2 linked regions of the Solanum lycopersicum genome follow. The main gene of each other region encodes a partner of the protein of the gene in region 2 in a complex. Links are inferred from orthologs where the notes say so. Each region holds a gene or a part of one and is shown on either strand. Other genes may lie near its edges. The genes, in order: NADH dehydrogenase [ubiquinone] flavoprotein 2, mitochondrial; NADH dehydrogenase [ubiquinone] flavoprotein 1, mitochondrial.

What was found.
Region 1: the proteins of NADH dehydrogenase [ubiquinone] flavoprotein 1, mitochondrial (region 2) and NADH dehydrogenase [ubiquinone] flavoprotein 2, mitochondrial are in contact, whole or in part, in a cryo-EM structure (PDB 9F5X), measured with the Chlamydomonas reinhardtii proteins. The link is inferred for Solanum lycopersicum from reciprocal best matches to the Arabidopsis thaliana genes CI51 and AT4G02580. Residues at the interface, in XP_001702590.1 of Chlamydomonas reinhardtii: Asp58, Glu59, Arg61, Phe63, Gln64, Asn65, Ile66, Tyr67, Arg69, His70, Met78, Ser79, Arg80, Gly81, Tyr84, Met85, Glu88, Ile89, Lys92, Trp96, Gln100, Tyr133, Glu142, Pro143, Gly144, Thr145, Cys146, Arg149, Glu150, Arg153; in XP_001698508.1 of Chlamydomonas reinhardtii: Thr42, Arg79, Tyr80, Pro81, Tyr84, Gln86, Ser87, Ile89, Ile90, Pro91, Asp94, Val95, Glu125, Val126, Phe129, Tyr130, Thr131, Met132, Phe133, Gly147, Thr148, Thr149, Pro150, Arg152, Leu153, Gln154, Glu184, Met185, Glu186, Cys187.

The regions. Positions count from the first base shown.
Region 1 is NC_090808.1:60,899,235-60,902,415, forward strand, and holds the end of NADH dehydrogenase [ubiquinone] flavoprotein 2, mitochondrial, read right to left. Parts: intron 1,360-3,181; coding exon 1,282-1,359; intron 1,183-1,281; coding exon 1,117-1,182; intron 1,029-1,116; coding exon 918-1,028; 3' UTR 509-917; downstream 1-508. UniProt on the Arabidopsis thaliana protein: Core subunit of the mitochondrial membrane respiratory chain NADH dehydrogenase (Complex I) that is believed to belong to the minimal assembly required for catalysis. Complex I functions in the transfer of electrons from NADH to the respiratory chain.
Region 2 is NC_090801.1:65,985,025-65,989,361, reverse strand, and holds the start of NADH dehydrogenase [ubiquinone] flavoprotein 1, mitochondrial, read right to left. Parts: upstream 2,912-4,337; 5' UTR 2,766-2,911; coding exon 2,763-2,765; intron 1,676-2,762; coding exon 215-1,675; 3' UTR 203-214; intron 1-202. UniProt on the Arabidopsis thaliana protein: Core subunit of the mitochondrial membrane respiratory chain NADH dehydrogenase (Complex I) that is believed to belong to the minimal assembly required for catalysis. Complex I functions in the transfer of electrons from NADH to the respiratory chain.

The sequences.
Region 1 (3,181 bases), on a different chromosome or scaffold from region 2:
CTATTTGTAACTTAGTTAATTAAACTTTGGAATAACTTATCCGGAACCAATCAATCCAAGTCTAAAAAACTTTTAAGTCTTTCTTTTGGTTTTTGTATTTTTTTTTGAAAGCGTGTGTGGTTGGGTTGTGATAGTGGTTTGACTTAATTCTCTAAATTTTCTCCTGAGTAATTATTGGGTTGCATAATTGGAGAGAGAATGAAAAAGGCAACTCTGACGGAAAGCTGTTTCCCATTTTGCTTAATATAAATTATTATACTATATTGTATTTTCTTGCGTTATCATAATAATAACTTGGATAATATTTTTGGGTTGGTCCTATCTGATGATAGTAATTTGACTTGGACTCTCAATCACTAGACTCAAATTTCAACAATCAACGACTTGGAAGGGGATTGAAACGTTGATGGCTCATTAAAATATATGAGCTAATTAAAAACTCAAAATAGCAACTTCGACTCCAATTTTCCAGTGTCACTATGAAACAAGAAAAGTAATCACAAGAAACTTTGAATGCCAGTTGTTTATTTATTCAGTAGAAAATCTCTTTTCACATCCAAAACGCCAAACAACAATGCCATTTCTCCCTCCCAGTACACTTGAGTATTAGAGTGTAATGATTGGAAAAGCTATTGGCTTCTTAAATCAAAAACTTCCTAATTGTAAACTAACCATTCTGTACTAAATCAATTCTAGGCAAAACATTACATCCTGACCCAAAACAAAGGACTTTCACTGGATCCGGTAAGAGTTAAACCGATAAAACAAACAAGAATCAGTTTTACCTGTAATTATACTGACAGACAGAAAACAATCTTTAAATATCATCAATGCAGTAGGTAAGTTACTGCATATGATATCGGATGCGTCTCTCCATCCATTGTTTTGCATTATTAAAAAACTGAACAACAAGAAATTTATTCAGCAGCATCTAGATCCCGACAAGGAGGAGCCTTAGGCTCACCTAATAATGTAGTATTTCCTCCTTCTGGTCCACAATTGATACGACCTGGATTCTGAGTGCCGCGCTGAAACATAAAAAAGCATGACAATCAACAAAGCATTGATGTCATTATGCATGATAAAATTAGTCTATGCAACTTATAGTCGTCTTACCGGTGGTTTTTCACCTTTCCTGAATGCCTCAACAATCTCTACAGCTTTCTTTGGAGTGAGATCCTCCTGCAGAAAGGAAGGGAAGACCAATTAAGCTCCAAATACTTAAACTTATTACTATAAGATTGAACAAGTGATCAAAACAGGATTTACGTATTAACTCACATAATAATTGTAAGCATATCCTTCAGATCCATTGGAATAGTCAGCCACCGTCATCATTGGAGCATTTACACAGCAACCCTGTCACCAAAATGAGGTGTGATATTAAAGCACTTATCTATCAAATAAGCAACGACTTGAATGGTGTTCAACATTCTGAACAAATATGAGTAGCTAATGACCTAATCAATGGTTCCTTGCTGAAGAGCTTCCAATGCATGGAAAGAAGAATGTTGCAGTAGTTTAAACAACACTACTATTTTTTAAGCATATTGAAAATAATTCTATTGAAAATTTTCTTCTGATGAATAACCGTAACTTGTCATTAACAGTAGGTTCCACTGTTTCAACTCCAGAATCATATCTTATGCCTTTACAAGGTTGGTTAGGAAGCTAGTGAAAACATAGGCTTTTAAACTGAGAGTCAGCAAAAGATAAAAGCAAAGACATAATCTTGTCTTTCCCACCCTGCTTTTTCATTGGTGCGTCATATATCCTTATGATTTTCACGACTTCTCCAGAGTTCCCAATTAATAGTAAGTGGCCCCCTACAGATGCCCAATTTAGGTCTAAACAAGGTCCACTGAACCAGTGTTATCAAAGGCGCGCTTAAACCCTGAAGCAAGACTCAAAACGTGTTGAGCGCTTCACCTCGCTTTATGTGCGCTTCAGTGTCGTCATCAAGGTTCTAAGGGTGTTTGCCTTACCAGAGCCTCATATGAAGAAGTGACACTAAATAATTGATATACTTTATCATCAATTTCTTTGGACATTTTTTGTCATCCATGTTTATAATTATTAGTCTATGACTAAACATATATATTTGTATTCTTTTCTCCCTTTGTGCCTTTTTTCATTAAAGCCCACGCTTTATTTACGCTTTGCGCTTAAAGCCCTCACATACCTTAGAGCTTTTTTGCACTTTTCGCCTTTGATAACACTGCACTGAACAGACCTCAATGCATTGGCGACAATGCACGTAGATTAGGGACTTTCAAACACTGCCACCACAAACAAAATCCTAGCAGAATTTAAGTTAACAAGTTGGTTATTTTTCAGCACCAATTTAGATTATCCAAAAAGTTCCGAACTGTGCCCCGGTGGCCCTAGAATATTTTTAGTTATCATAATATCTAGTCAAATTTCACTATGACTAACATAAATAGGAAAATATGGTTTGAGAAAACTGTCTGATAACAGTAAAGATGAGTTCTCTGACTTAGAATAGTTCCCTGCCTATCACATCTTTCTCTTCTCATGTATCTAAAAACCATCCAACCAAGGGAGGCATCCTCAGCAATCGATGAGTTCAAGCCCTTAGAGGCCCCAATTAGACAAGGACCAAACCATCAAAAGGGCTATGAGGAAAATGAAGTTCCTCGACAAGTTGATAGGTTTGCAGATTAAAAAAAGAATACATTTGCCCCAGAATCTGAAACCTTTTGTCACTTTACTTTCGGTAAAGGTGGATAAATTGTGTATCCTCCATATAAGGCTGTGCTTGTACATGTGTCCATGCACACTATTACAGCCAAACCTCTTTATAAGTTATGACAACCTCATTTGTTTGAACCTTTTTTTGCCTATTACACACCTATTAATTGGCCTTTGGATCTAATTTGGTTGTTATAGACAGGAAATATTTAAAACATTTTCCAAATCTGTAGAGATACTGAGAGTAGAGTAAGAGATTGTTGGTCAGTTCAGGATTGAGACATCTCCTTTAGAAGAATGCTAAATGATTGGGTTCTCGGTACTGGAGAAGTTAGAAGGAAATGACATTGCCACAACAAATGCAGATAGGGTCTTGTGGAAGCACAAAAAAGATCGAAACTTCTCAGTAAGCAGTGCATATAAGAGAGGTATGCAGTTGGCTAGAGGGGGAACTTCTTACCAGTGGAAT
Region 2 (4,337 bases):
CCAAACAACAAGAGGATAAAAAAAGACCCATTATCCGAACAAAAAAAGGGAACTAGAAAGAGTTTGGAAACCAATTTCACTTTATTAAAGTTTACAGCATGCAACGAATTTTTAGATGAATGTTTTATTAAGATGATGATTCATGGTTACTATCAAGTATCAAACACTACAATGTAAATGTAACAAAAGTTTAAGAACCAACCTCATAAAAGAATCAAGCAGCAGCTGCCTGTTGTAGCTCCCTCTCTGCATGCTCCCTGATCCTCCTTTCTAGCTCTGGTCTAAAGTGCCTAATAAGACCCTGTACTGGCCAAGCAGCAGCGTCACCCAAGGCACAAATAGTGTGCCCTTCAATCTGTTTTGTCACCTCTTGGAGCATGTCAATCTCTTCCAACTTTGCATTGCCAACCTTCATTCTTTCCATGATCATCCAAAGCCATCCTGTGCCTTCCCTACATGGTGTACATTGACCACAACTCTCGTGCTTGTAGAAGTACGAGAGCCTTGCAATTGCATCTACAACATCAGTTGACTTGTCCATGACAATTACAGCAGCAGTTCCCAACCCTGACTGCACAGCTTTGAGTGCATCAAAATCCATAAGTACATCCTCACATATGTTCTTGGGAAGCAGTGGAACAGATGAACCTCCTGGTATAACAGCAAGCAAATTGTCCCATCCTCCACGCACACCACCACAGTGCCTCTCTAGCAGCTCCTTCAATGAAATACTCATTTCCTCTTCAACTGTACAGGGCTTGTTAACATGGCCTGAGATGCAAAACAGCTTTGTCCCGGCATTATTCTTCCGGCCAAAACTAGCAAACCACTCTGGACCACGCCTTAAGATGGTTGGTGAAACAGCTACTGTTTCAACATTTGTAACAGTTGTTGGACATCCATATAGTCCTGCATTAGCTGGAAATGGAGGCTTCAATCTTGGTTTGCCTTGTTTGCCCTCAAGGCTCTCCAGAAGAGCTGTCTCTTCACCACAAATATAGGCACCAGCACCAAAATGAATATATACGTCAAAATCATAACCAGATCCACAAGCATTTTTCCCCAACAATCCAGCTTCATAGGCTTCTTGTCTAGCCTTCTGAAGGCTCAACCTTTCATTCACATACTCTCCCCTGATATAAATATAAGCAGCTCTAGCTCTCATCCCCACTCCTGCAATCAGACAGCCTTCCAACAACTTGTGTGGGTCATGCCGCATGATTTCCCTGTCTTTACAGGTTCCAGGTTCACTTTCATCAGCATTGACGACAAGATATGAAGGACGGCCATCTGTTGTCTTTGGCATGAAGGACCATTTGAGACCAGATGGAAAACCAGCACCACCACGTCCTCGAAGACCAGATTTCTTCATTTCATTCACGATCCAGTCAGAACCCTTGATGACAAGATCTTTTGTTCTGTACCAATCTCCTCGCTTCATGGCACCTTTGAGGTAAGGGTCATGCAATCCGTAGAGATTTGTGAAAATACGATCCTCATCTTTAAGGCCACCAAAGTGAGTCCTCTCGGGAGGTGGGGGTGGGGGTGTAGGTTGGGGAGTGCTAGCAGTTGATGCAGCCTGAGTGCTAAATAACCTACCATATTGGCCCCATCTTTCACTAGAACGCTGAGCTAATGCAGTTCGTTGTAGAGAAAGAAGGCCCTTTATAGGTGCCTGTTAGAAGAACATGCCACACATCAGTAATTTTAGCCTCATAAGAGGCGAGACTGAGCAAGCATAATTACAAAGGTAAAAGATTGTATTATACTGCACTAAGCGATGGGTCTATGCATCATGATTGCAAAATACTCTCTTTTTCTAGGAGACCAACCACAACACAACTCTTTTCCAGGCTTTAGATGGGGTACACTTTGCTAAACTCACCGAAGCAGAGTTGATTGAATAGAAACATAAGATCGAGAGAGTAACAGTAACATTTCCAAAAAAATTATTCCCAAAATAGATTGTTAATACCTGATGCTAAGGGAATTGCACAAGAGGGGAAGAAACAAAAAGAATACCCTCCTTTTGATGTCTGGGTGGGGGAGGGGAGGAAACACTTACGCAAAACATCTCTAACTAACTGTTTTCAAAGTTTAGGTACTAATTTAATTTACATCTACCTCTCTAAAATAAATACATAAGCCTTCCGAAGTAATAGAGTATGAAGGTTTTCTTTCCCTGAAAAAAGAAGCTTACCTTGAAAGAGCTTAATTCAAAGTACAGCGGAAGACTACACTAACTCCTTATTAATCTATATACATATAACTCATTCTAAATTACAAAGTTGAAAACACACACAAACAAAGAAAAGAAGCTACGGAGTCTATGAATTAAAGAGTTCTGATAAGGAGGTTAGGTTCAAAATATGAACTTGCATAACTTATAACATACTCCAATCTAAAAAAATAACCCATTTTTTTTCAACGAAAGCAGATCAATGAAGCAACACCTCTCCTGAATAACTTATCCAGGAATCAAAAAAGATCAAAAGCAATACCCACATGTGCTAGCCAAATAAAATTTAGGGTTCCTCATCATTCATCTTTCTAGGAATACCATGGCCATTCGAATCAGTTAAAATTAAGCCACATCTCTGAAAATATAAATTTGCAATAAATATCCTATGAAGAGTACCAAAAGAGTAATCAACGAACAAACCGAGGACGCATCAAAATGCACGTAAGGCGTATTCTCACAACAAATTTTCATTTGTATTTTGGTGGCGCAAAAAAATTACAGATCGAAGATAGGGACTTACCATGAATATTGAAGCAGAAATGTGATTAATCGACGAAATTCAGCTGATTCTCCAGCAGATTAGGGTGAGATTGAAGCTCTCTTTCTCATAAAAATAAGAAAAAAATAAGGGAAAATGAAGCTGTTGCGATTTGTGAATCATGACGGTCCACGTAGTGGGCTTGATGGGTATGAAATATCATGATGGGCCTTAGTGTTCAGGAAATGTCGTAATGGGCCTTAGTGACACCAAAGTTAAAAGATTTATCGTCTGCCATTAATGTACCAATATGATCGAAATATGCAAAAATCATGTATACCAGTGATATACATTTATCGTCTGCCATTAATGTCCAATATATACCCAAATATTATATTCTTTCCCTATTTTAAAAGTTAACAGATATAGCTTGAAAAATTACTCTTTTGGTTAATGTTAGGTTTGGATGTGTACATAGACAAAATTTAAATATCATCTAAAAACAAAGCCATTAGTGCTAATGAATCCTCAATACACACGCGTGTGTTAGAACATTTGATAATAAATTGTTCTAAATGCGATAATAATAATCGTAAGAGTGGTGTGTAAATAATTTATTATTATCGTAAAAAAGTAAGATGTTGTTTTTGCTAAAAACTCGACTAAGCTAAAACATATAAAAAAAACTAAGACCAATGCAGAGAAAACAACAAATAGTAGTAGAATTGAAAAATAAGTTAATAGAAGAGTAATGATAACGTAGTATTTTAAACAAGAGACATAAAATTAAACCATACATGTGCTTAGAATCAATCCTTGTTCGATACTAATTTTATTTTTAATTTTTCACCGGTGTTTATATTCACATTGAAGTCCAACTAAATTTAAATTCGTGCGGAAAAATTTTACGTTAAAAATAAAGTGCTCCGTAAAAAAAATGACTATGTATCAACGTTACCTAAATCCACCACGTCTTGATTAAGGATAAATGAGTCCACCATATTTCTCGTAGGTGGTTCAATACTAGATTAACTCTTGGCCTAATACTTTCTACAAGATATAGAAAAACACTATACGGATCCGTGATACATTGTTGTTCATAATTCCTTTGTATCTCAAACTTTTCCCCATTGTTTCAATCCATTGTCATATAAGAACATGTGCAAAGTGTTAATTACTATCTGGAATCCATACAATCTCTCCTTTATGATTGTTGTAAATAGAGATGTTGTTGTTGACAATGATGGCAGCTCAATTATATGCTTTACCCATGCCTCTGTTTCACTAGTACCATTTGAGAATATACTAAAAATTTTATGACGAATGAGGCACAAGTGTTATGTGGTAGACAAAATTTGTATGATCCTTCATTTATTTTTTGACAAGTAGTTAACTGGGTCCTATTTCAAAAAAAAAATAGCCCAAACTTTTTTTCCCTCTCTTCCTTTTGTGACGTTTTTCCCTCCTTCTCTCTTATTTTTTATTTTTTTATTTGATTTCTCTTTCAACCATTGTTACAAATTTGCATTTTCATATTTTAATAATTTTTAAAAAATGTTCATAACACTAATATAAATACGTAATCATTCTTTCAATTTATGCAATGTTTTTAAATTT